Linked DNA regions of Caenorhabditis elegans. The protein of the gene in region 1 purifies or fractionates together with the protein of each later gene. This does not show direct contact. Each region holds a gene or a part of one and is shown in the gene's direction. Other genes may lie near its edges.

Region 1 (3,931 bases):
GTCTGTGTCTATTTGTGACCGAAATTGTGCTCACTTGCTCACAAACGGCTGTCTCCGTCTAAAGTATAACTCAATTCGCCTTCTCATTATCTCTACTTCTCTCTATTGTTTTGAGAGTTGTTTCAGGTCAGTATGGATGCGTGTAGCAGATATTTCGAATTTTCAAACTTTTGTCGATTGCTGTGCTGCATGGACATCTTATATTACAAAATATTACACCTTGAAGGAAGTCACAAAGATTCTGGAATTGGTTTTGGTTCGGCTCAGAATTGATGATCAAACTAAGGTTAGTTTCGGTTTTTTAATAGATTTTACAACAAAAAACCCGAAAATGTATTTACACCGATATAAAAATGTTTACCAAAATATTAAAATTTTCAGAAGCCAGAAAACACGGCTCTTCTCATCAATCTAATTGCCGCCTTCCTGGAACATAATGCAAATAAATCTGATTGTTTGGACATTGTCACGTCAAATAGTTTCATCAAAATAGTAGATCTAATCGGTTATGATATTCAATCAACATCAGACTGTTCTCGACGAATTTTGGAAATTTTCTCTAAAACCTTCACACGCCACACGATTTCCGATATATCTGCCTGTCAATTCATTATTGAGAAATGTCGAACTTTGTGCAAAGCGTATAGACTGGAAGAATCAGAAGAAGTCAAAGCTGCGGAGCAACTTGTTTGCTCTTCACTTTCTCTGATTGATTTCCAAGCATTTACAAATTTGGATCAATGCATTGAATTAATAGTCAGATGTCGAGAAGACATGGGATTACGGCAGAATAGTTTAATTGTTAGTTTTGAATTAGAAACAATTTGAAAAAAAAAACTTAAATATTTACAGCACATCATTGAAACTTTGTTCAATTTCACACAGTTCATCCATCGTACTCAAAAGTCTGGAAAGCGAAAAGCGGATTTTATGAGAGTGTGCATCACAAATCTATCACTTACAATCCCAGCTGTCCGAGATCCGTCCCGACGCGTCAAGATGACTGTGCAAAACATTCAAATGTGCCTTCTTGCCAATTTTCTTCCTCAAGTATTTTTCCAACAAGCTTGCCAAAATATAAATAAAACATAAACCTTTTAGATGGAAATGTCGAGTGTGCGTGTGATAGAATATCTCGACGAAATGAGCACAAACGGTCCTTCTGTGTGTGCTACAGTATCCCCTCTCATCAGTCAGTTCCTCGCAACACTCAGTTTCTGCCCAGAAGGATTTAATGAAGAAATGCCGTCTCTTTCGCATTTTTCGAAAATACTTGCAATTGTTGAAAGGTGAATTTATTGAGATTTGTGAACAATAATTTAAAAATGTTTCAGAAATCACGAAGAATGGTCAAAAGAGTATAAAGGAGTTCCACTGGCAGAGATTTATATCAATATGCTCCGTTACCTGTGTACATGCCGAAAAGTTGATCCACTTCGAGCAGATAGCAGTCAAAAATTGCATTTCGGCGATGATGATCATTTGTGAGTCTTTAAAAAATTTTTGAAAAATTCAAGAAAAACAATTGACAACTTTGAAATTTAAATAATCTAAAAATATATTTTCCAGAATTCGAGTGGATTGCAACATTTCTGACGTCATCACAAAACTATTCTCACTCGCCAATGACCCAACCATTGCAGTAATTACACTGGAAAATGTTGTCATGTTATTTGAAATTCATGAAGAGGTATTCACTGAACCGTTAACTATCTTAACTACCCTCAAATTTTCAGATGCGCTCCACGATCCGAGGTCTTCTGAAACGATCAGTAGGCTCGCCTGCTCATTTGCAAAAACGCCTTGACGCAATCATTCAGGATCTCCGGAATGAAGCCAGTCACGATGAAACTGTCCGAGATATTCTTCAGAGATTATCACTTTTATAATTTGTCAGTGCCTATTAACTTATTATTGTCTAACTTATTTTGTCTAAAATTACGGGAAAATAAAAATAACATCAGTTGTTAATATGTGATATTTTAATTGTTTTAAATAGCAGTTAACTAGTTATAAATATTTAAAAAAAAAGTTCAATTTTCTTATATTTACGTTTATTTGGTATATTTTTAATTGGATCAGTTCCATTTATTATTTTCTTTTACCACTTTTTCCCCTGTAACTATAACTCAATTCCAGATAAATGTCAGATATAAGCGACGATGATATTTTTGGAGGCTTCGATAATAGAATGGACACGGAGCCCATACAAATTGATTCCGACGATTCATTCGATGCGGGAGCGCCGACGTCATCACACACGATGGATAGAAAATCGATAATTGAGAAATATCAAAAGTTGAAAGAAGAATCGAAAAAATTAGATGATTTAGCTGTTGAAGTGGGTTTTCAGCACAGTTTCATATTACGAAGATGCGAAAAAATTCATTTTTGGTATCTCCCCTGGTCACGACAATTTTATTTTCAATGCGAAAAGGCGTGCGCCTTTAAAGAGCACTGTAATTTTAAACTTTTGTTTCTGCAGCAACGACAATTTGAAAGTACAGTAACCTGTAAAGGCGCAACCCCTTTTTAAAAATGTTTGAAAATTTTTCGTGTCGAGACCGAGTACCGTCCTTTTGACGCAACATTTCGCTTCATAGTAATTATATAATATTGTAGCTCTAATAACTCCTATAAACAATGGTGTTTTTAGGTGCGAAGCCTCTTCATGATTTGCAAGCAAATGGAGGAATGTTATACAAAACGAATCGACAGAATTGTGGCAACCTATGGGGAAATTCGATATCTACATGATGGCACAATTCTACTTCTCGTAACCATTCACAATATCACAAATCAGCCGATGATTGATTGGGTTATTTCAATTAATCCCACGTCCATCTTCCCGAATAGCTCATCTTCGTGCTGTCAAACAATCAATGTCGGAAGCCTTCTTCCTGGTATTCGGAAAACATTCCAATGCCAGTTGACATGCAAGGATCCTCCTGTCCTTCTACAATTGTCTCTTCTAAGAACTTATCAACTTGGAGGAATTGTGAAATGCTTCAAAGTGAAGCTGGATCCTATTCTCGTAACAGCTTGGAATCAAGCACAGAGAGTAGAGCGGAAGAATATGGAAACGGTAGGATACAAATATTAGATAGATGATCAAATTCGCAGTTTTCAGAGTTTCACTTCAACAATTCGGCTTCCAAATTCTCTTATCAATCTTCTCTCTGGCAGTCCAGATACTGTGATCTCTGTGCCTCAAGTATTCAAATCAATTCTAAACGTTCCAAATGTACAAGAAGATCACATTGTAATGTGCATACCATCTACGTCTTCTGATAACATATTGGTGAAGGCAAGCTGTGCCAAGGATGGAACATCCTATCACACATTGACAATCGGAACTGAAAGCTCACGGAGTCTCACTTTTCTCGCCGAGCAACTTCGACTTCATCTCATCGTTGAAATGTCAAAATTGAAATCACGACCAGCTAAAGGAATATTGATACTCACGGAAATGGATGCACTTTCCGTTGAAGAACTATTCCAGACAATGCTTGCGGCATTCAACTGAACTCCTAAATTCTCAAAAACTTTTTTTTTCGGGTTTTACTACAAAAGAATACATAAAAATTATATTGGTATGTTGGTTCTAATTTTGTCAATTTCAAAACTACTGGTTCATTGCCAGATTCTACCTCTAACTTATTGCCGTTTGTTTGAATTTGTTTGTTCTTCGTTTATGTCTGAATTTCCAATAATCTATTTTAAGATTAACTTTAATTTATCCATTACAGCAAAATGAGCAGCGCTTTCGTCGTTGGAGCAACCGGAGCTGTTGGTTCTGAGCTCGTCAAGCTGCTTGCCGAGTCTACAAAGTTTTCAAAAGTGGTTGTTCTCGCTAGAAGACCAGTCGACGGAGCCACTGGAGACAAGCTGATTCAAAAAACTGTCGACTTTGATAAGCTTGAAGAGAACG
Region 2 (3,931 bases), on another chromosome or scaffold:
TCCCGTGCCTTATGAATGCAATATTATACATTATCTCACTAGTTATGTATTGCATTTACAAAACTTTGAGTGTTCTGTTCTGATAAAGCCTAAGATTACAAGTGAAGAAATTTTGATACGAGTGAAGTTAACTACAATCATTCAAAAAAAAACCAGTATCATTCTGCTTTATTAAAGTTTACTTTTTTTTACAAAACAATTGCTTTTCAATGTATATCGAAATGATTTTTTCTTATGGCTTTGAATTATCAATGTCTATTCAATTAGACCAAGATTTCATTACCGTATCTAGTTATATTTCAAATTATAGACTTTATCTCGTAAAGTTTCTTCAAGTAAGAAAGGATGTGTTGCTTTTTTTTGCATTATATTGTTCTCAGTAATTATTTTTTCATTAATACAACTGAAGCAGTAAAATTTTTTTGGCTGATGAAATTTTCAATACTCTCCATAATATCGAATTGTTTGAATTGCAAATGCATTAGTGAAGGATCGCTTGGTCCATGCGATAAACGACCGGAGAAGTAGATGACCAGGAACGTCATGAGATTCCGAAAATTTGAACTTGAAATCCTTGCCACGTGCATCTACGTGTCCAAAGCGGCGAAGCTGAAAACAGCGTTCAAAAATAACATGGGAGATGACGCAAACTACCACAAATGAGCCCAACTGTCTTTCAGAAAGTTCCGAATAGTAACGGTCAAACCAAGCTGGAAAATTATAAAAATTTTTAAACCTCTGTTCATAATAGATGACCGAGCTTTCTTTTTTTTCTCGCATCTCAAAAAAAAGAACAAATAATTTATTCGTGTTACAAGCTTCAAAGCTCGTATTTTTCGCATTGTTTCCAGGAGCCATTTTTCAACTTAACAAACTTCCACATACATTCCGAATCGAATTTAGCAGAAAAGTATTTTTCAAATTCTGTCATATTTCTTTTCCGGACAGCAGACTGTATTTTCATAAGCATTGTGTCAATTGCTCGGTCTACCGTGATATTTCTTGCAACATAAGCCGTCTATAAAATAACTGGAAAATTTAATAATCGTTTTTTCAAACTCACAGTTTTTTCGATACTTTGGAAAAGAACAATGAAAAACAAGATGGTAAAACCGAATAGACAACCAAACTTCATTGATGTTGAATGAAAAGTTTTAGTCAGAAAACTGTCGGTTTTAGGTGCAGCTTTGATTGAGGCGAACAAAACAAAATTCAAAGGTTTTATTGATATGATAATTTTATTTGTCCGCGATCAGCTAAAGATGTAAATAGTTTTTTCTTGACAATTGACGTAGAAGAAGAGAAAAATATGAAGAAACTGAAAGATGCGAACAAATACTTTAATAATTCTGGGCAAAACTTGGAAATTTTATGAAACTTTAAAAAAATAATATTTGTGCATTGATACCTTTCGCTGAAACACTAGTGTTTGAAAAAATCAGATAAAAGTTTGGCAAATTATATTCTCATGCTCGTCTGTTTTTTTCAAAATGTAATTTTGAAAGTAAATCTTGGGGAACAAAACATTATCCTTTTCAGCTGGTACAGTTTTTTGTAGGAATTACAGTTTTCTTCTCCTGAAAACTAAAACGATATTAAAAATTTTATAAACACTTTTTTCGAGTACAAATAGGTTTTAGTTACATGTTTGATAAACTTTCATAAATTAACTCGCGAAATCATAATGTTGTTTGTTTGAAATCTAGGCCAATACCAAAACCAAAATTGGCATGAGACAAGTTTTCAATTAGAACACTTTTTTCTATACTATCATCAAATGTTCCTCAAGTTTTAATGCCCGTTAGGTTGCACTTTTATTTTGTCTTTGCCTCCTCACAAGTTTTTCTTGTTAATGAGTAGTTGTGAACATACTCATCAAGTATCGGTTGCCATGGAAAAATAACTCACACATTTCAGAGTCTTTCTCGAGATACAACTTTCATTTTATTTATTTTCTACCAAATGAACAAGCTTATCACTGTCATCCGAGATTTCTCATATAGTGTTTATAATTGGTGCTACGAAACTGTAATAGGGTAATTTTCATTTTCATGATCTTCTGAAACGTTACAAAAAAAAGTTTCTTTAATTTTCTTACTGTAGCAGGTTCCAAAAAACTTTAAAAAATTTAAGTAATAAACTGAATAGTTTTTCTATTAACAGGTATGTCCATTATACTTGATAGTATGAATGAAAGTTTGTAATATTTTTCTCGTCAGTATACTCCATCAAGTGTAGTTGTCGCTACTGCGAACGAGTTTTTTAAAATTTTAAAAGAACTGCCTTATCGATAAAGTCATAAAATAATTATATTTTTGAGGAGTTTAATAAACAAAACGTTTTTGTTCCCTTTGAAAGTCATTTAATATTTCAGGGAAAATACTCGGAAGTACAAGATGACATGGAAAGTTCCAAAGGAATCTTTGAAAATTATTGTTAACAAGAATGCAGATGCGGTAATAAAATTCAAATTACCAGTAAATGCGTCTTTAAATTTAGAGAATGCAACGTGAACTTGAAAATAGAACAGCAAAAGATGAAGCAAATGCTTTAACATCACGACGAAGGGTATTTGGCTCATATGCTCTAATTGGCACCCAAAGAGCAGAGTTTATTCAGTTTCGACAAATTAAACATATCGATATCACTAATGCTTCTTTAGACTTTTTGTATAACTTAAAGCAACTGAAACATGACAATCTGGCAAACTTCTATGGTATTCAATTGAATGATGATCTCAACACAATGACAATTTTACACGCATTAGTGGAACGAGGAACACTGGAGGTACAAGACTTACATTTCTCAGTAATTAGAAAATCAGGCTAATTCAAGGAATTTTGTTTGGATCGAGATTTCGGTATGGATGAAACGTTCAAATCCGCATTTATGAGAGATATTTTGAAGGTAACATTTTGCGTTATTCATTAGACTCCATGAACAACTGAAGATTAAAAAAAATAATTCTATAATAAAAATCACAAATCGATTGTTAATTCAAGGGTCTTCAATATCTTCACCTATCTCCTGTTGCGTATCACGGTCATCTTCACGCAGCCACTTGCCTAATAGATATAAATTGGGTACTGAAAATTGCATTATATGGGGTCACAAACTTTGTGTGTGATAACTTCGACGCAGAAAATATAACGATGCCAGATAGAAGTGACTATACTAGTGAGTAATTCAAAACAATGTGCAAAAAAGCCAGACAACAATTTCTAAAATAGCTGATTGCGGGAAAAATTGGAAGCTGACAATAGCCGGAAATCTACAATTATCAATTTCTACACCTATTTGACTTGAATTTTCTTGAAAAATTTGTATCTTTCAATCAGAAACTGTTTTACCTGTTCACGCCGTTACTTCAACCACAACATTTACACTGAAAAACAAAGTATATTTTTATTTTTTGAAAAATAATGTTTAAAAGTTCCGAAAAACAACAATTTTGGCAATTTCCGAATTTGCCGATGACCGAAAATTTTTGGTTGCCACCTACCCCAAGAATATATGCCTTCTTTTCTTATTTTCAGTATCTTACGCGCAGTATGTGTGTTTTCCGCCGGAGCATATTCGAGAATATGATGCTACTGGAAAACTGCCAACCAGATTTGTAAGAGGCAGTAAACAAGGCGATATTTATTGCGTTGGAATGATTTTTTATATGATGATCGAACGTGAAGATCCATATCGACTGATTCACTCAGTTGAGCGACCGGGTTCTGGTAAGTTAGTTGAGAAGTTGCAATGGGTCAAAATGAGTCGACTCGCAAACAAATGAAGACCAAATCAAATGAAACTCAAATGAGGACCGTTAAATATGACAAACTAGGATGTTCTTTGACTTGCCGCAATATAACCTCCTTGCTAATATGCCTAACTCAAAGAGCTTTGTCACCTTTATGCTTGGTCTAGAAAAGCATCAGGG

Evidence for each region.
Region 2: the proteins of C33F10.4 (region 1) and gcy-27 fractionate together in Caenorhabditis elegans (co-fractionation; one large-scale study listed by BioGRID). This does not show direct contact.

What each region holds. Positions count from the first base shown.
Region 1 is NC_003280.10:4,793,622-4,797,552, forward strand, and holds C33F10.4 (Alpha_adaptinC2 domain-containing protein), read left to right. Parts: upstream 1-2,139; 5' UTR 2,140-2,143; coding exon 2,144-2,341; intron 2,342-2,656; coding exon 2,657-3,085; intron 3,086-3,130; coding exon 3,131-3,526; 3' UTR 3,527-3,596; downstream 3,597-3,931. Other genes in the region: F26G1.1 (VPS35 endosomal protein sorting factor-like), read left to right, coding at 127-286, 382-801, 853-1,050, 1,102-1,289, 1,335-1,484, 1,570-1,690, 1,737-1,889; htip-2 (Protein HTATIP2), read left to right, coding at 3,754-3,931.
Region 2 is NC_003282.8:17,434,663-17,438,593, reverse strand, and holds the start of gcy-27 (Receptor-type guanylate cyclase gcy-27), read left to right. Parts: upstream 1-1,962; coding exon 1,963-2,036; intron 2,037-2,374; coding exon 2,375-2,456; intron 2,457-2,499; coding exon 2,500-2,787; intron 2,788-2,835; coding exon 2,836-2,907; intron 2,908-3,002; coding exon 3,003-3,177; intron 3,178-3,536; coding exon 3,537-3,728; intron 3,729-3,931. Other genes in the region: C06A12.8 (RxLR effector protein), read right to left, coding at 439-609, 655-710, 886-1,018, 1,064-1,135. UniProt on the Caenorhabditis elegans protein: Guanylate cyclase involved in the production of the second messenger cGMP. May be involved in sensitivity to quinine by regulating egl-4 activity through the production of cGMP.